Linked DNA regions of Drosophila melanogaster. The protein of the gene in region 3 interacts with the protein of the main gene of each other region in a pairwise test. Each region holds a gene or a part of one and is shown on either strand. Other genes may lie near its edges.

The links.
Region 1: the proteins of snf (region 3) and pps interact in a two-hybrid assay, tested with the Drosophila melanogaster proteins (one study listed by BioGRID).
Region 2: the proteins of snf (region 3) and THG interact in binary tests that used the Drosophila melanogaster proteins (3 or more experiments, as listed by UniProt).

What each region holds. Positions count from the first base shown.
Region 1 is NT_033777.3:12,412,002-12,419,853, reverse strand, and holds the start of pps (protein partner of snf), read right to left. Parts: upstream 6,027-7,852; 5' UTR 5,698-6,026; coding exon 5,568-5,697; intron 5,503-5,567; coding exon 5,098-5,502; intron 4,984-5,097; coding exon 3,266-4,983; intron 3,207-3,265; coding exon 2,725-3,206; intron 2,637-2,724; coding exon 2,462-2,636; intron 2,407-2,461; coding exon 1,879-2,406; intron 1,814-1,878; coding exon 1-1,813. Other genes in the region: Dip-C (dipeptidase C), read left to right, coding at 6,471-7,852.
Region 2 is NT_033779.5:15,007,963-15,011,492, reverse strand, and holds THG (tRNA-histidine guanylyltransferase), read left to right. Parts: upstream 1-1,768; 5' UTR 1,769-1,789; intron 1,790-1,800; exon of another isoform or gene 1,801-1,894; 5' UTR 1,895-1,895; coding exon 1,896-2,043; intron 2,044-2,098; coding exon 2,099-2,811; 3' UTR 2,812-3,004; downstream 3,005-3,530. Other genes in the region: Rnmt (RNA guanine-7 methyltransferase), read right to left, coding at 135-217, 275-1,475; NC2beta (negative cofactor 2beta), read right to left, coding at 3,024-3,530. UniProt on the Drosophila melanogaster protein: Adds a GMP to the 5'-end of tRNA(His) after transcription and RNase P cleavage.
Region 3 is NC_004354.4:5,307,354-5,311,022, forward strand, and holds snf (sans fille), read left to right. Parts: upstream 1-1,888; 5' UTR 1,889-2,000; coding exon 2,001-2,353; intron 2,354-2,778; coding exon 2,779-3,076; 3' UTR 3,077-3,148; downstream 3,149-3,669. Other genes in the region: Cdk7 (Cyclin-dependent kinase 7), read right to left, coding at 409-1,404, 1,476-1,541. UniProt on the Drosophila melanogaster protein: Binds stem loop II of U1 snRNA. It is the first snRNP to interact with pre-mRNA. This interaction is required for the subsequent binding of U2 snRNP and the U4/U6/U5 tri-snRNP. Plays a role in regulating sex-lethal splicing.

The sequences.
Region 1 (7,852 bases), on a different chromosome or scaffold from region 3:
CTTCGTAGAAGGGAACTGGCTCCGCGGTCTGCAGCGCTGGTGGCAACTTATCGCCGCTACCCAAGGGGAATATGTAAAAGTCGCGTATCTGATCCGAGTCCACGCCCAGGACGCCCAGACGCTGACGCGAGTCCAGGTATTCGAAGAAGAGATCAAACTTATACGTTTCGCTGGGCGAGGCGGGGAATATGTTCACAATGACCACTTCCTTTGTGGGACTCTTCTTTAGCTTCTTGATATATTCCCAGACATTAACGCGGGTTATGCGACCGATTACGTCCATCTGACTTGGCATCAGGTTACCCAATTGATGGCAGTTACCCTGCACGGGGTACATGACGATTTCGAAGTCGGCCAAATCGATCATCTTGAGAGTACCGGACCACAGTGAACTCGTCGTCAGGCCGTGCAAGTAGCGGGAGTAGTTGTCCATTGGCTCAGGTGCCTTCAAAGAACTCGGAAGCGTTGGAAGTGGCTTGGGTGACGGCTTTGGTTTGCCTAGATTCGCCGCCTGCTCGACTGTTTTCTCCGATTCCAGAATTTGATCAACCAAGTTGTAAGCACTCGCCTCGGTTTTCTTTTCCGCCGTCTTTTTGGGTACCGGCGATTGGTCGTTTTCGTCCCTCTTCTTGGGCAAGGGTGATGGAACGATCTCATCCCTTTCCCGGCTCTGTTTCTCACGCGATCTATGCTCACGCTCCCCGCTGCCTGGCTGCTCTCCTCCTTCGTTGTGCTGCCTGCGATGGCGCTTATCGACGCTTCGACCCCGACTATTGGAACGACTTCGACTGCGCTTTCGATGATGATGCTTGTGGCTCTTGTGTCGCTTTTCCTTCGATGAACCCGCCTTTTCCCTGGACGTGGAACGTTCCAGTGTGGAGGTAGACGGCTCACTGACCAGCGACGTCTGTTTTGTGTCCGCCATAGATGATGCTTCACTAACGTTCTCTTCGGGCAGCGTAACATCCACTTTGGTGGCGATTACCTCCTCTCCCTTGTGTGTTTTCACCACATAGTTTTGGGCACATGCCAACAAGTCCAGCTCCGATTTCTTGATCATATCCAACTGGTGACGGTTTTCCTCCTCCCGCCACTTGGCCAACTCTTGGCTGGCCAGCTGTTCCGGCGTCATCCGCACCAACTGCCTGGGCTCCACTTGCTTGGCACAAATCTTTTCGAAAAGCGTTCGGTTCTTGCGATCCTTTATGTTGAACATAAGCGATCGATACTTGGCCTTGTACTTGGCTCCCACGTCTCGGCCAAACGAGTTGAACATTTCCAGCTCCACGTTCTTGACAAACTGATCCACCTCAAGTACGGTCGGCCACTGAGTCGTTGGCTGGCCAGAGTTCTCCTCGGCAGCCTGAGCTTCTTTGATTCGCGCTAGTAGTTGCTCCCTGAGTGATCGCCGGATGCCGATTCGAACCGGCTCGGGTTTGCCCGCTGCGATACGATTAGGGGTTGGCGCCTGTACTGTAGGTGTTGTCTTCTCTTTATCCTTTTTGGCCAAAGGACGCACGGAAGAGATTCCAAGTTGGTGGCTTGCCTGAACTGTGGTGTTTTGGGGATGGGACAATTTGGCAGGACCTTCAGGTGGCTTTTTTGCAACTCCTAGCACGGCGGGTTCTGAAGTTGAGGTGGCGGCTTCCGGTGCCCCTTTCAGCAAACGCTTCTCTGCGTCGGCTGACTGAACGGTTCCTGAGGGCAGCACCTCGAAGGAGGGATTCTCCTGAAGCCATTTCCGAAACTGATGTGCAGAAGGGGCCATGTGCCCGGTGATAACCCGACCACTTTTACGCTCAAACACATTAATCTGCAAAGCAAAGTGTGCACATTATTTGTTGTATAGTTCTAATTAAATTAACCTTTATTGCATACCCGTTCCACTTTTGACACAGTGTCCGCTTGCCTCAGCACGTCCTCAAACAAGTCCTTCTTCTTGTTCTTTTTGGCATCGAAGGAGTTGTTCAGCAAAGACTGAGCACCGGCATTCTGTGGCAATGGGCCTTTGGTAGCAGCATGTGCTTGAATTGCACTTTGGGCATACTTCCGGATGCACTCTTCGCCACAATAGACGGAAGAGGTGCTCGCCGGTCGCTTGCAGACCACACATAACGTCTCCGAAATTCGTTTGCCAGGTGATGGGCCCAGTCTGATAAAGTTCAGCTGCTGCTGCTGCTGGTGAGAGATTGCACCGGTTGGGAACTTTTTGGCCGGCTTTGCCATTGGAATACGCATGGGGGAACTGGCTACAGTTAAGACCACCGGTAGTGTTCTTCTGGGAGCCGAAGGAGCCGCGACCTGAACAATTTCTGCTGTCGTAGTTAGTACTTTGGTTTCACTCGGCCTCTGCTCAGGTTGAGTGGTTGGTCTGGTGACCAACATGTCTGTTATTCGTGGTTGGCTCTACAAAGATAACGAATCAATAAAAGGTAACTTTATGTCTATTGTATGACTTTACCCTCTCCTCCTGCCTTTTAACGCATTTGGGGCACTTCCAGTCGATGCCCTTGTTTTCCATATCTGTGCCCATCGCCTTGGTCACCCCCACGCATGTGCCGTGGAACCAATCCTCGCACAAATCGCAGCAGATCATGAAACGATTGTTGTGTGGCTGACGACAAATGCACCAGAGCCTAAACCAAAAAAAAAAAAAAAAAAACAAAAAAGGTTTTCAACAAACGCACAGATTTGCATCTATGAAATATCCAACTATAATCTTACTTGTTGGGGTCATCGTCATCCTCCTGAGACTCTGAAGCGTCGGGATCATTGTTCTGACTTGCATCAAGCTTCTTTGATCTTCTGGGTGCCGTTGAACGTCTGGCCATCGATGGCTCTCTAGGATTGGGTCGTTTCGGCCCACTTCCCGGCTGGCTGTCATTGCTCAGGCTGCTGGTATTGAGCGGCTGATTGATGCTCGCATCCAACGAAGATTCACCAAACGACAGGTTGCCTGCATCACTGGAACTGGTCGCAGCCATGCCCGGAGCTGAAGGAAACTGTGCTCGTCGCTTGGCCCGCGTGGTGGGGGCTTCAATGGGAGGCAGGTATATGACCCGACCGTAGCCGCGCACAACCTTCGCGGAGGTGGGCGGAGTGCTTGCTGCCACGCTCCTCGAGGGTGTACTGCAGGCAATCGGCAATGAGGTCATCGATTGTGCGGGCTCCGTAAGACTTGCATTCGGCAGTAGGTTCGTGTGTGCCTGTAAAGGAGCAATGCAGTTAGCTAGCAAAATCAATAACCAGGATATTCTACACTTGCCTGTACTTGCGGCACGTCTACGGGCTCAATGGACGTAGGCATAGATACGATGGCGTCCAGGGTTCCGGGCTCTGTACTAGCCAATACTTGCTTAACCACCTCGGCCTCAAACTGTTTGTCCTCCTCGATGAGACCGACCACGTGCTGGAGAAAATCAGCTGTAATCTCATCCTCATTCGCCGTATCCATTATATTATTCGGATCGGCTGCAGCTGCATTTCCCACTCCCTGCATCTCGGGAGCTGGAAAAATATTCGTAGGCAAGGACACTGGTGGCGGATCTAGATCCGCCGCTGTACTCTCCAGCATCTTAACCAGTTTCGGTATATCCTCGTCCGCATTTACTACCGGCTGCTCCACAAGCGTGGACTTAAGTAGCTCGTCCTGCACAATCGAGTTGATCAGATCGAGCTGCTTGTCATTTTCTGCTGCCAGCTCGGAGGAACTCTGGTGCGTCTCGATTACTATTTGGGCGGGCAGTTTATGCGACTGAGCTGTGTCCACGCCGATGGGCATGAAGCCCTTGGATGGGGTATGTGCCTGAGCAGGAACCGGAACCACAATTGGCGACATCTGCTGATTGTAGCTCGATCTCGGCGTGCTTGGCGACATGACGGCCCGGTGTCGGAGTGGAACTGGCGAAGATTTTGTGGCTGCATTGTTGTCCTCACCCAGCAAAGTGTTGAGATTGGTAAACACTCCTTTGGGACTGGCCATATTCTTGTTGATAATAATCTCTTTAACTTCCTGCGGCGAGTTTACGATCCTTCCCAATTGCACGGCAGGCATACGACGAACATTGGAATTGGCCGGTGTCGTTGGCAGTGGAGGTCTCTTCACAGGCAGCGATTGATGTGTGGGCCGGATTTTGAGAAACGATGTGCTTGGAAGACCTCTGCCTAGGGCAAACACTGCGGGCACTGATTTTGTGGCAGGCATCTGGATTATTTGCCCAATTTGCGGCGCCTTCGGCTCCAAAACTTCCTTGCGTTTCTTCAGCTCGGGGAAGTGCTGCGGCGTTGTGGGTGGCGGAGGCAGCGGCTTCATTGGTTTGCTGGGAGTCTGCCTAACCACCTTTCTAACCCGCTTCCTCTTATTCGGATTACGTCTATTGCTATGCCTCATATCGAAGTCCATGTCACTGTCCCTGTCGTTGTCCGATTCCTGGAACTCATCGCTCTCCTCACTCATTTCCTCCGAATCATAGGCCTTGTCGGCATTTTCCTCTTCGGCGGAATCCGAGCTTTGGGCGTCATCATCATCTTCGATGTATTCCTGCACAGGCGGAGCAATCACTTTGACTGGAGCACGAGTGGGCCTCAGCCTGGCATTGACCGAATTGTTCGCGATAATCTCTGGCTTCTGTCTTGGCAGTGGCGAATGGATGGGCTTGCGGATCAGCTGCACTTTCGGTTGCAGCTGCGCTGCCTGCTGAACTTGGTGGGGCTTGACTGGCAGTCTCTGGACCTTGACCTGCACCGGGCTTAAGGGTATGGCCTGGACTCGTTTTTTGGCATTGATTAGCTTGACACTGCCCGGTGCCTGCATTATGATTTTGCGGCTTTGGGCCTGCATTTCCATGGCCATCTTCTCATCGCGCTTGTGGTTCTTCAGCTGCTCTGGCGAGGTAAACGGTGTGTAGTTGTGGTCATTTCGAATAACTTCCATAAGAGCGTCTGTCTCCGCAGTCCTTTTGTAGACGGAAACTCCGGCAAGCTCTGTAAATAGAATACAAATTAGTTGAAAGCTAAAGTTCGTTTACTTTCGTTGTGCTCGAAATAATGATGTTGTTTTGCTTTATCATTTGGACCACATCGATGTACGTTATTTACTCAGTGCATTTTTCACAACCATATCAGCCGTGTTGTCCGCATAAAACTGCTCCACTCGCAAACCCACAATTTGTGGACGCTCCTTGGGTTTGCGTCGCTTTCGCTTTTTGATGGCCTTGGGCTTTCGGCCAACTCGCTTGCGTGTGCGCGGGGCATCGGCTTCCGTCTCCGTGGAGTCGCTATTGTTGTCGTCACCGGTGTTATGGTTCTCCTCGTCGTGTTCATCCATCTCACTGGCATTATCGCCACCACTTTGGCTGCCATTGTCACTGTCCAGCTCCGAGTCGGTGGCAGTTTCCATAAAGTTCGCCAGCTCCTCCAGCCGTTCGTCTTCCTCTTGGTCCACCATGCTCGGCGTGGGCGATGTAATCCGCACCACGCTAATGGTGGAAATCGATTTTTCCTCTGCAACAAGCCCATGTCAGTGTGGGGAGCAATGAGCGTGTGTCAGGCCTATTGGACCCACTTACCCATGATGTTCCCAATCGCACGCTCGTCGAAGGAGATTCCGCTCTTGCTGTAGACCACAACCAGATTGGAGTCGGCTTCGGCTGCCGCCGGCCGGGCGCTGGGCGCCTCCGTAAACACCGAACTGGACATGACGCCAACTGCTCGTGATCCCCGCTAGCGGCGCATTGGAGTCGGCGGCCCACACAGCGTGTACTTAATTAGCTTGGAACAGAACAACGACTCATTTGTTGTTGCATCCGCCGCGTTGTGACGCCGACATTGAAATTGGATAGTAGGTGGAAAACGGTCACTGGGCTGCGTTCGCCCTATACTTAATACTGGTGATGCTCTGCTGGCTGCGCCCACAAGCTGGCTGTTATATTGTTGAGATTCGAGAGCTTAATCCGTTGCTGTTTCGCTTTAAAATGCAAATTTTTCTCAATTATGAAAATAAAATTTGCAAAAAAAGCCACTTCCAGTGTGACCAGACTTGGGAATGATGCCGATGCTGTAGGTTATCGATAGTTTCTGTGCCTCGCTCTGCGGAACTAGTTTCAATTGCTAGCTCATTTGAACAAAATGTTAATCTGTGTTTATTTAGGGAAATCCTTTATTTTCAAGGTCGGCTGCCAAAAAGGAAAACCGTATGATAAATAAATGAATTGAGCTAATTAAAAATATTAAAGAATATATTTAAAAAAATAAAATTCCCGATCGATGAATTGTAATTTAAGCTTGTTTTTTTTCGCGTTCAGTTCTCGGTCATACTTTTGCGAAAACAGAAAACAAAAAACACTGATAAAACCCACATAATTTACTGCCTTTGTTAGCCCGGTTATTGGCTATTATCAGCTAATCTCACTTGCTCGAGCACTCATTGTTGTCCAGAGCGCCAGTTAAACTTTGTCCTCCGTCGCAACACCATGGCCGCCTTTCAGATGGGATCGGGTTACGCAGTGCCCATGACCCTCTTCCGGAACAACAGGGATCGTGCTGGCAAGGCCATCCTTAAGGAGCTGCTGCCGGGCCTCAAGTTCAACGACGGCAACCTGCTGGTGCTCCTCGAGGGCGGCAAGGACCAGAGCCTGTACAACACCGACGTGGACTACGTTTTCCGGCAGGAGTCCTATTTCCAGTACTTGTTCGGTGTCAAGGAGCCGGGCTGCTACGGCATCCTAACCATTGATGTGAAAACTGGTGCACAGAAAAGTGTTCTCTTTGTTCCTCGCTTTCCCGATGAGTACGGCACCTGGATGGGCGAACTGCTTGGGCTGCAGGAGTTCAAGGCCATGTACGAGGTGGACGAGGTGTTTTATGTTGACGAAATGAGTGTTTATCTGGAGGGGGCGTCGCCCAAGCTGATACTCACATTGAGTGGCACCAACAGCGATAGCGGGCTCACCCTTCAGCCGCCCGACTTTGCTGGCAAGGAGAAGTATGTGACTGACTGCAATCTGCTGTATCCAATTCTCTCTGAGTGCCGAGTGATCAAGTCACCCGAAGAGATCGAGGTGCTGCGCTACGTGGCCAAGGTATCCTCGGACGCGCACATCAAGGTGATGCGGTTTATGCGTCCCGGTAGAATGGAATTTGAGGGCGAATCCCTGTTCCTGCACCACGCCTACTCCGTGGGCGGCTGCCGGCATGCCTCCTACACCTGCATATGCGGCAGCGGAACGAACTCGTCGATCTTGCACTATGGACACGCGGGCGCACCCAACAGCAAGCCCGTCCAGGATGGTGATCTCTGCCTGTTCGATATGGGAGCCAACTATTGTGGCTATGCGGCCGACATAACCTGCACATTCCCGGCCAATGGAAAGTTCACCGACGACCAGAAGTTCATCTACAATGCCGTGCTGGATGCCCGCAATGCGGTCACAGAGTCAGCCCGTGACGGAGTCTCCTGGGTGGACATGCACAAGCTGGCGGGCAGGGTGTTGCTGCAGCGCCTGAAGGAGGGCGGCATGCTCAAGGGCGATGTGGAGGAGATGCTCGAGGCAGGTGTTTCGGGCGTGTTCCAGCCACATGGCCTGGGCCACTTGATCGGTCTGGATGTGCACGACGTGGGCGGCTATCTGCCCAAGGAGCCCAAGCGCCCCAGTGAACCGTGGCTGAGCAAGCTGCGCTTTGCCCGCATCCTTAAGGCCGGCATGTATGTCACAATCGAACCCGGCTGCTACTTCATCAACTGGCTGATGGACCGCGCTCTGGCCGATCCGAACATTGCTAAATTCATTAACGCAGAGATGTTCAATCGCTTCCGGAATTTCGGAGGTGTGCGCATCGAGGACGATGTGCTCAT
Region 2 (3,530 bases), on a different chromosome or scaffold from region 3:
TTTACGAATTGTAACCTACGGAGCTAATCTTTTCTGAAATTAATAATCTGTTCATGCTTTCGAGTATAAACTTTAAAAGTGCTAAGCCACGGGTACAGAATAATAGTCTATAACGTGAATGTTTTTGGCAATAATCAGTCGTCAAATTCGAACAATGGTTTGCCATTGGTGTCCCAGGTGTTTTTGCATTTCTTAAAGGCACAAACCAAATAAAGAGCTGAAATAAGAAGCTATTTAGTAATGGAATTCAGAAGTCGATGCTGAGTAAACTCACTTGCTGCTTCCCATTCGGATTTCGAGAGGGTTCCCACCGACCTGCTTCGCTGTGCTCCCTGAAAGTTACTCACATGGGCGAACTCTTCATCATTCTCGCAGCGCTGTGGCTGCACCGACTCCAAGCCGGACATTCGCTGCAGAAGATGCCGCCCGTGGTGCAGATTTTCCTTGTAGTAATCCGCAAATGTGGAGCGCTTCAATAGCTGCAGACCGTATTTTCTGCCCAGCTTGACCAGCGTGGGAAAATGCACTAGGAACTCGGGGCAATCGACAACGCCCTCCAAGTGAAACTGATACTTGGCTCCGAAAAGCGGCAAAGGATCCGTTTCGCAGTCAAATTCAATGCTGTACACATCGTTACCGAAACGCCGGGCATCTGGACCGGCTGCCCTTAGCCTGCGGATGATCTCGTAGGCATCCGGCATTGTGGCTATGAAGAAGCCACCGGGTTTCAGACACTCGGCTGCATTCCGCATCATGCAATCTGCCTGCGCCATTGACTCGAAGCAATAGTGAAAGGCAAACTGACAGGACACGAGATTCAGCTGAAGCGAAGGATCCTTATACCGTTCCCGCAGGCGCACTAATGTGGAGTCGCAGGCAAAAAACTCCGCGGTAAACTTATTCGCAAATTTCGACTTCTCCGATCGCTGCAGGATGTCCTGATATCGCCGCTGGCACTGCTCCACCGACACCTCAGCGATGTCGGTGCAGATGAGGTGGGAGATGGCAGCCTTCTCCCATTTGAGAAGGTCACCGCCCTTGCCGCAGCACATGTCCAGAACTCTGAGAGCATCACCCATGCGTTTGTTCTGCTTAATCTGCGACATATACTCGTTGATCAGCTGGCTCTTGATCCAGTTGTTAAAGTTCCTCATGAAGAATATCTTTGACTTCTGACGATCCTTGCGGCCCGCCTCCTTCAGCTCGTTGTAGTGGTGTGCCACCACATGTGTGTTGGCCGCTCCGCTGGCAGCCTCCGTTTCCGGCTCATCCTGATCATCTGCTCCACTTCCATTGCCCTTCCCGCCAGGCTCATCGTAGTACTCCCTCGGTGATTTACTAACATGCGGCTCCTGATTTGGTGCAGACGTGGTCTCCGCTTGGCCCTCGCTCTCCTCGTCGTCCGACAGGCTGACTGCTTTGTGTGCGCGGGCGAACTGCTCGTCTGCCGCGTTTTGTTCGTAATTAAGACTCATAGTCTCTATTAATTTTCTGTTTTGCCGGATGACCAACAGTCGTTGCCTATCGAAGTTATCGGGTCAGTTAGGAATGAGTGCACGAGTGCTATCGGCACTCGATGTTATTTCGCGCGGAAAGTATTCAGAATAAGAAATATACATTTTAGATTTAAATTTATTTTTCTTCCTAATTAATTTTTTATAAACCAATATTCTCTAAACCATCCTCATTAGCTACTTTTAAGATTAAAGCTAAACAGATTTTAAAAGTTCCATCACTAGTCAAGCACTAGTTAACAGTGCTGTTAATGGAAAACATCAATCAGCTGTTGGTAACTCATGCATTTCTTAACTTTTTAAATGCGGTTGCTTGGAACTTTGAATAAATTTGTTAAATTATTGAATTATTCCCTTGCCCGGAATTTTCCAAAACGCAGCATGGCCTGCAGCAGATTCGAGTACGTTAAATCCTTTGAGCAGGACGACAGCATACTGCCTAATGTGTGGATAGTCATACGAATAGACGGCAAAAAGTTCCACAAGTTCTCCAAGACGCACGATTTTGAAAAGCCCAACGATGAAAATGGTAAGAAAAAACACTCATTATAGTTCTTAATAATCCCATTAAATATTCGCTTTAGCTCTCAATGTGATGAATGCTGCTGCCACGGCGGTGATGCAGGAGTTTCGGGATATTGTCCTCGCCTACGGTCAAAGTGATGAGTACTCCTTTGTTTTTCGCAAAGAGACGGCAGCGTTCAAGCGACGATCCGCCAAACTGCTCACCTACGTCACCAGCTTGTTCTCCTCGAGCTATGTAATGCAATGGTCCAAGTGGATGAATCTGCCATTGGCCTATGCTCCGTGTTTCGATGGTCGCGTTGTTCTGTATCCTTCGGAGCAGAATCTAAAGGACTATCTCAGCTGGCGACAGGCCGATGTGCATGTGAACAACCTGTACAATACCGCCTTTTGGAAACTCGTTTTGGAAAAAGGCCTGACGAACCAGCAAGCCGAGGCGAAACTCCGTGGCACCTTTTCGGCGGACAAAAATGAGCTGCTCTTCCAGGAATTCGGGATAAATTACAACAATCTGCCGGCAATGTACAGAAAGGGAACGATTCTGCTGAGAAAACGCGTGATATTGGGTGAGAAGAGCAGGCAGGCCGTGGTGCCGCTGCACGAGGATCTGATATCTTCGCAGTTCTGGAAGGAACACACCGAAATATTGGGAAAATATGTGCCAGGCACATACGACGCACCACAAACTTTTCCCCGATTGGTGGAGATGCAAATAAATGGCAAGGATGACAATGAGGCGGAGGAGCCACAAAATCTGGCTGGTACCAGCTGATATAATAACGAATAGTCTTGCATTTTTAAAGATTAAAGTTACGATACATCTAAGGAAGTCGTTTCGGAGATTGAGGATGCGGTGCCCAGGCTGCTGGAGTGAAGGACAAACGGATGATCCGTAATGAAGAGTAGCTAATAGTTGAAAGTTCAACTTATGGCATATATTTTAAGATTAAATCTACACTAAGCTCATAGAAAGACTATTTCCTACTAGTAGTCGTCGTCGTCATCGTCATCGTCATCCTCACTTGGCTTGCTGGCAACGGAGCCGTCTGCCAGCGGTGGTCGCTGCACCATTGCTGCCGCTTGCATGCTCATCCACTGCTGCTGCTCCTCGCGCGCCTGCTCCTCGCGTGCCTTGGCGAACAGCTCCTGCTGCTGGCGCAGCAGCTCCTCCTCCGGAATGCCCAGGTTCTCTAGGCGCGTGCTCTGGCGCCTTCGCTTGGCTGCCACCTCCTTGCAGTCGTGCAGAACGGCCTCCGCCTCTTGTTTGTAGTCGTGAAAACCCAAGCGTTCCAACGCCTCCAGGACGTGCTCTGCGTTTATCGTCTTCTTGTTGCGCATGTTGCACACCTCGTTGGCCTCCGAACTGATCAGATGAATGAACTCTGAGCAGCAGTTGAGTATCAGCTCGCGACTCTCGTTGGCCACCCGCACCGTGGGCACCAGCTCCTTGATGATCTTGTTGATGCTGGCCCGTGGCAGGGTCAGCTCGTC
Region 3 (3,669 bases):
ACTTGGTTACCAATTTGTTTTCAGAAATATAAATACGGTAGCGTGCACTGGAACAGCTTTTGCACAACCTACCAGGATCCTATGTACTACTAATTAACTACTCAATTTTCGCTCGCTTTCAATCACATCTTTAATAGATCATCCTCAATCATCTTAAGCATAGTCTTAACAACTCATGTTGGGTGGCGAAAAGGTTTTGCCAAGCGAGAAAAATTCATATCAATTAGAATGGAGTGGAGCTTTTGGAGTGGATGCAATGCATCCTTAAGCCTTTCAATAGAACTTATTGTGCATGTCTGCGGTGAACAACGTAACGCGATCACAAACATCAATGTTATAATGGAAAGTGTGTGTTAACTGAGTGAGTGTGTGTGGGTGTGTGTGTGTGTGTGTGTGTGTGTGTGTGTGCTAGAACTGCAGCCGCTTCTTCTGGGCCAATCCATTGCCCCTCACCGTAGTCTCGACCAGCTTGCGCTTGAGCGCAGGCTTCGTGTCGCCGGTCTGCGGATTGGCGCCCTCCTTGGCGGCCAGAATGGCCGACGGCATTGGCAACTTGGGACCCACTGTGGGCGCCGGTTTGTTAGCGAAATACGGCATGCTCAGTGCCTCGCGGCAGGACACACGCCGCAGCGGATTCATGGCAAACAGGCGTTGCATCAGATGGATCAAGTCATTGCCCGCGGCGGTGAATATATTGTCCAATGGTGTGCCCGGAAAGTTGCGAAACTGCAGATAGTCGTGCAGTTTGCTCAAATGCGGCCATTCAGCTTCCGTGGGTGTTCCCAGTGTGGAAAAGATCCGTGTCAGCTGATCCAGATCCGAATCGCCCGGCATGAACGGCACTCGCAGCATAAGTTCAGCCAAAATGCAGCCAACTGCCCACATATCCACACCGGTGCCATATTGTCGGGCGCCAAAGAGCAATTCGGGCGAACGATACCAGCGTGTGACCACGTGGTGCGTGTAAATGCGATTGGGCGAACCGAAGGACTTGGCCAAACCGAAATCGCCAATCTTTAGGATGCCATCGCTGTTGACCAGCAAATTGTTGGGCTTCAAATCGCGGTGCAGTATCCAATTGAGATGCAAATACTCCAGACCCTTTAGCGTCATGATGGCATAGGCCTTGATGTTCGCCTGCGTTAATATAATCTTGTTATCCTTGATGATCACCTCCAGATCCGTGTCCATGAAGTCGAAAACCAGCGAGACATTCGAAAGTTGACCGAAAACGTCCACCAAGCCAATGATATTCTCGTGCTGCAGCTCCTGCAATATCTTGATCTCACGCAGCGCTGTCCTGTTGATACCGTCGCGTGCATCCTCGCGCGATCCCTTCTTGATCTTCTTTACGGCCACAATTTGGTTGGTCACCGTGTCGCGCGCCTTGTAAACTGTGGCAAACTGCGGTGCGAAAGTGGAATGCGCACATTGTTATGGATCGTTGGGTTGATATTCCGTGGCGGCGGACTCACCTGACCCTCGCCGAGGAAGGATAGCTTGGCATAGCGTTCCGTTTTGTCATTCGCATTGGGCAGCATCGTTTAGGAGCCTCATAAATAGCACGAAAATGACTGAAATGCTGCGAGGCCGAATCAAAACAATTCAAGTTCGCAAACGCTATCGATGGCCGATAACCGATGGACGCCGGTAGGGCCTATCGCGCGCCCCAAAAAAAATACTAGATTTCAGAGTCTATTAAGAATAATGCAAAAACAGCGTATTGCTCCTTTATTGCTAATCAATTTTATAGTTTAACAAGTTATGCAAATAATACACAACTGTCAATTTAAATTAGCTGCATGTGATTGTCATTTAATTTTAGCTACTTTTAGCTATGTGCAGTTTAACAACACTGCCAAACACCGGTGCGATAACATATCGATAGACCGCCCCAAACGATGCCTTCTGCTATCGATGACAGACTCGTTTTTTTTCTCAACAATACAGAGCAAATTGGTTGATTTTTGTCGAATTAAGTGAATAAAACGCACGACAGGATGGAGATGCTACCCAACCAAACGATTTACATCAACAATCTGAACGAGAAGATCAAGAAGGAGGAGCTAAAGAAGTCGCTCTATGCGATTTTCTCGCAATTCGGCCAAATTCTGGACATTGTGGCCCTAAAAACGCTCAAAATGCGCGGCCAGGCATTTGTGATCTTCAAGGAGATCGGCAGCGCTTCGAATGCCCTGCGCACCATGCAGGGCTTCCCGTTCTACGACAAGCCCATGCAGATCGCCTACTCCAAATCCGATTCGGATATTGTGGCCAAGATAAAGGGTACCTTCAAGGAGCGCCCCAAGAAGGTCAAGCCACCAAAACCAGCGCCGGGTACCGATGAGAAGAAGTGAGTATCCCAATTGCTAATTGGGCCCGTTTAGATTCAATCATTTGTTGCCAACGGCCATGGTGCTACCATTTGTTGCTCCCTGTTGCCTCGCAAAAACCCAATGTTTTCATTCGCACGCCTGAAATCCTTTTTGCTACTAAAAACATTTCCGCATTAACCAATGTTAGTTTTTGGCCAGAATTATGGACTTGAAAACCAAGAGGTGTCTCAAGTCTTCATAATATCTTTAGTTATCAACTCCTTTTTGCTCTTTAATCGATGCGATTTGAGTTTCAGTTGCAAAATGTTTCATTTTTGTTCATTTTTGCGCGACAAAAATCCGTAGTAATCCTAGTTTTCTGGGATGTGCGAATGACTAGGCAAAAAAAAAATGCAACTTCATGTGACACTAAGACAACTCCTTTTTTTTTCGTTTCGCACAGGGACAAGAAGAAGAAGCCGAGCAGCGCCGAGAACTCGAACCCGAACGCACAGACCGAGCAGCCGCCGAACCAGATCCTCTTCCTCACCAATCTGCCCGAGGAGACCAACGAGATGATGCTGTCCATGCTGTTCAATCAGTTCCCCGGCTTCAAGGAGGTGCGTCTTGTGCCGAATCGTCACGACATCGCCTTTGTGGAGTTCACCACCGAGTTGCAGAGCAATGCCGCCAAGGAGGCGCTGCAGGGCTTCAAGATTACGCCGACGCACGCCATGAAGATAACGTTCGCCAAGAAGTGAACGCAACTCCAGTCGCCGGGCGTTCCAGCAACTCCAATAATAATTTAAACTATAGAATAAATCGATATAAACAAACAAACTACGAGTATTCCATATGCCCATATCCCTCCCATATCCCATTTCGCCCAAAGATCCTTAAAGGCAAAAGTATAGAATAGAATAGTTGATTGTTTATTGTGTAGATCTATTTGTTTGTCTGCAAACTTATAACTAACAGCTAGTAATGCGTATTATTTATGTCGGTCGATTGTACATATTTCCATTTAGTGTATAGTATATGGTGTATAGTAGTATATATATATATATATATAGCGTCCCTTTGCTCAGTCTGCATGGTGTATCAAGCTCGCTGCAAAATCAACATCAGTTTGGTGTGCGGGAGCGTGTGTTGAGTAAGTCCCACAAGTCCTCGGATTCCCAAAATGTTTGCTATATGTAGAATCGTTCAGCGACGTAGTCCTCCTCCGCCGTAACAACATCATCAGGCTTACAATTGTAATGCAATCATCATACTTTAGGCACCACAAATGATGAGTATTATGAGTGTGCATAATAAATCTGGGATAAGTGTGTGTATTATATATATATATATA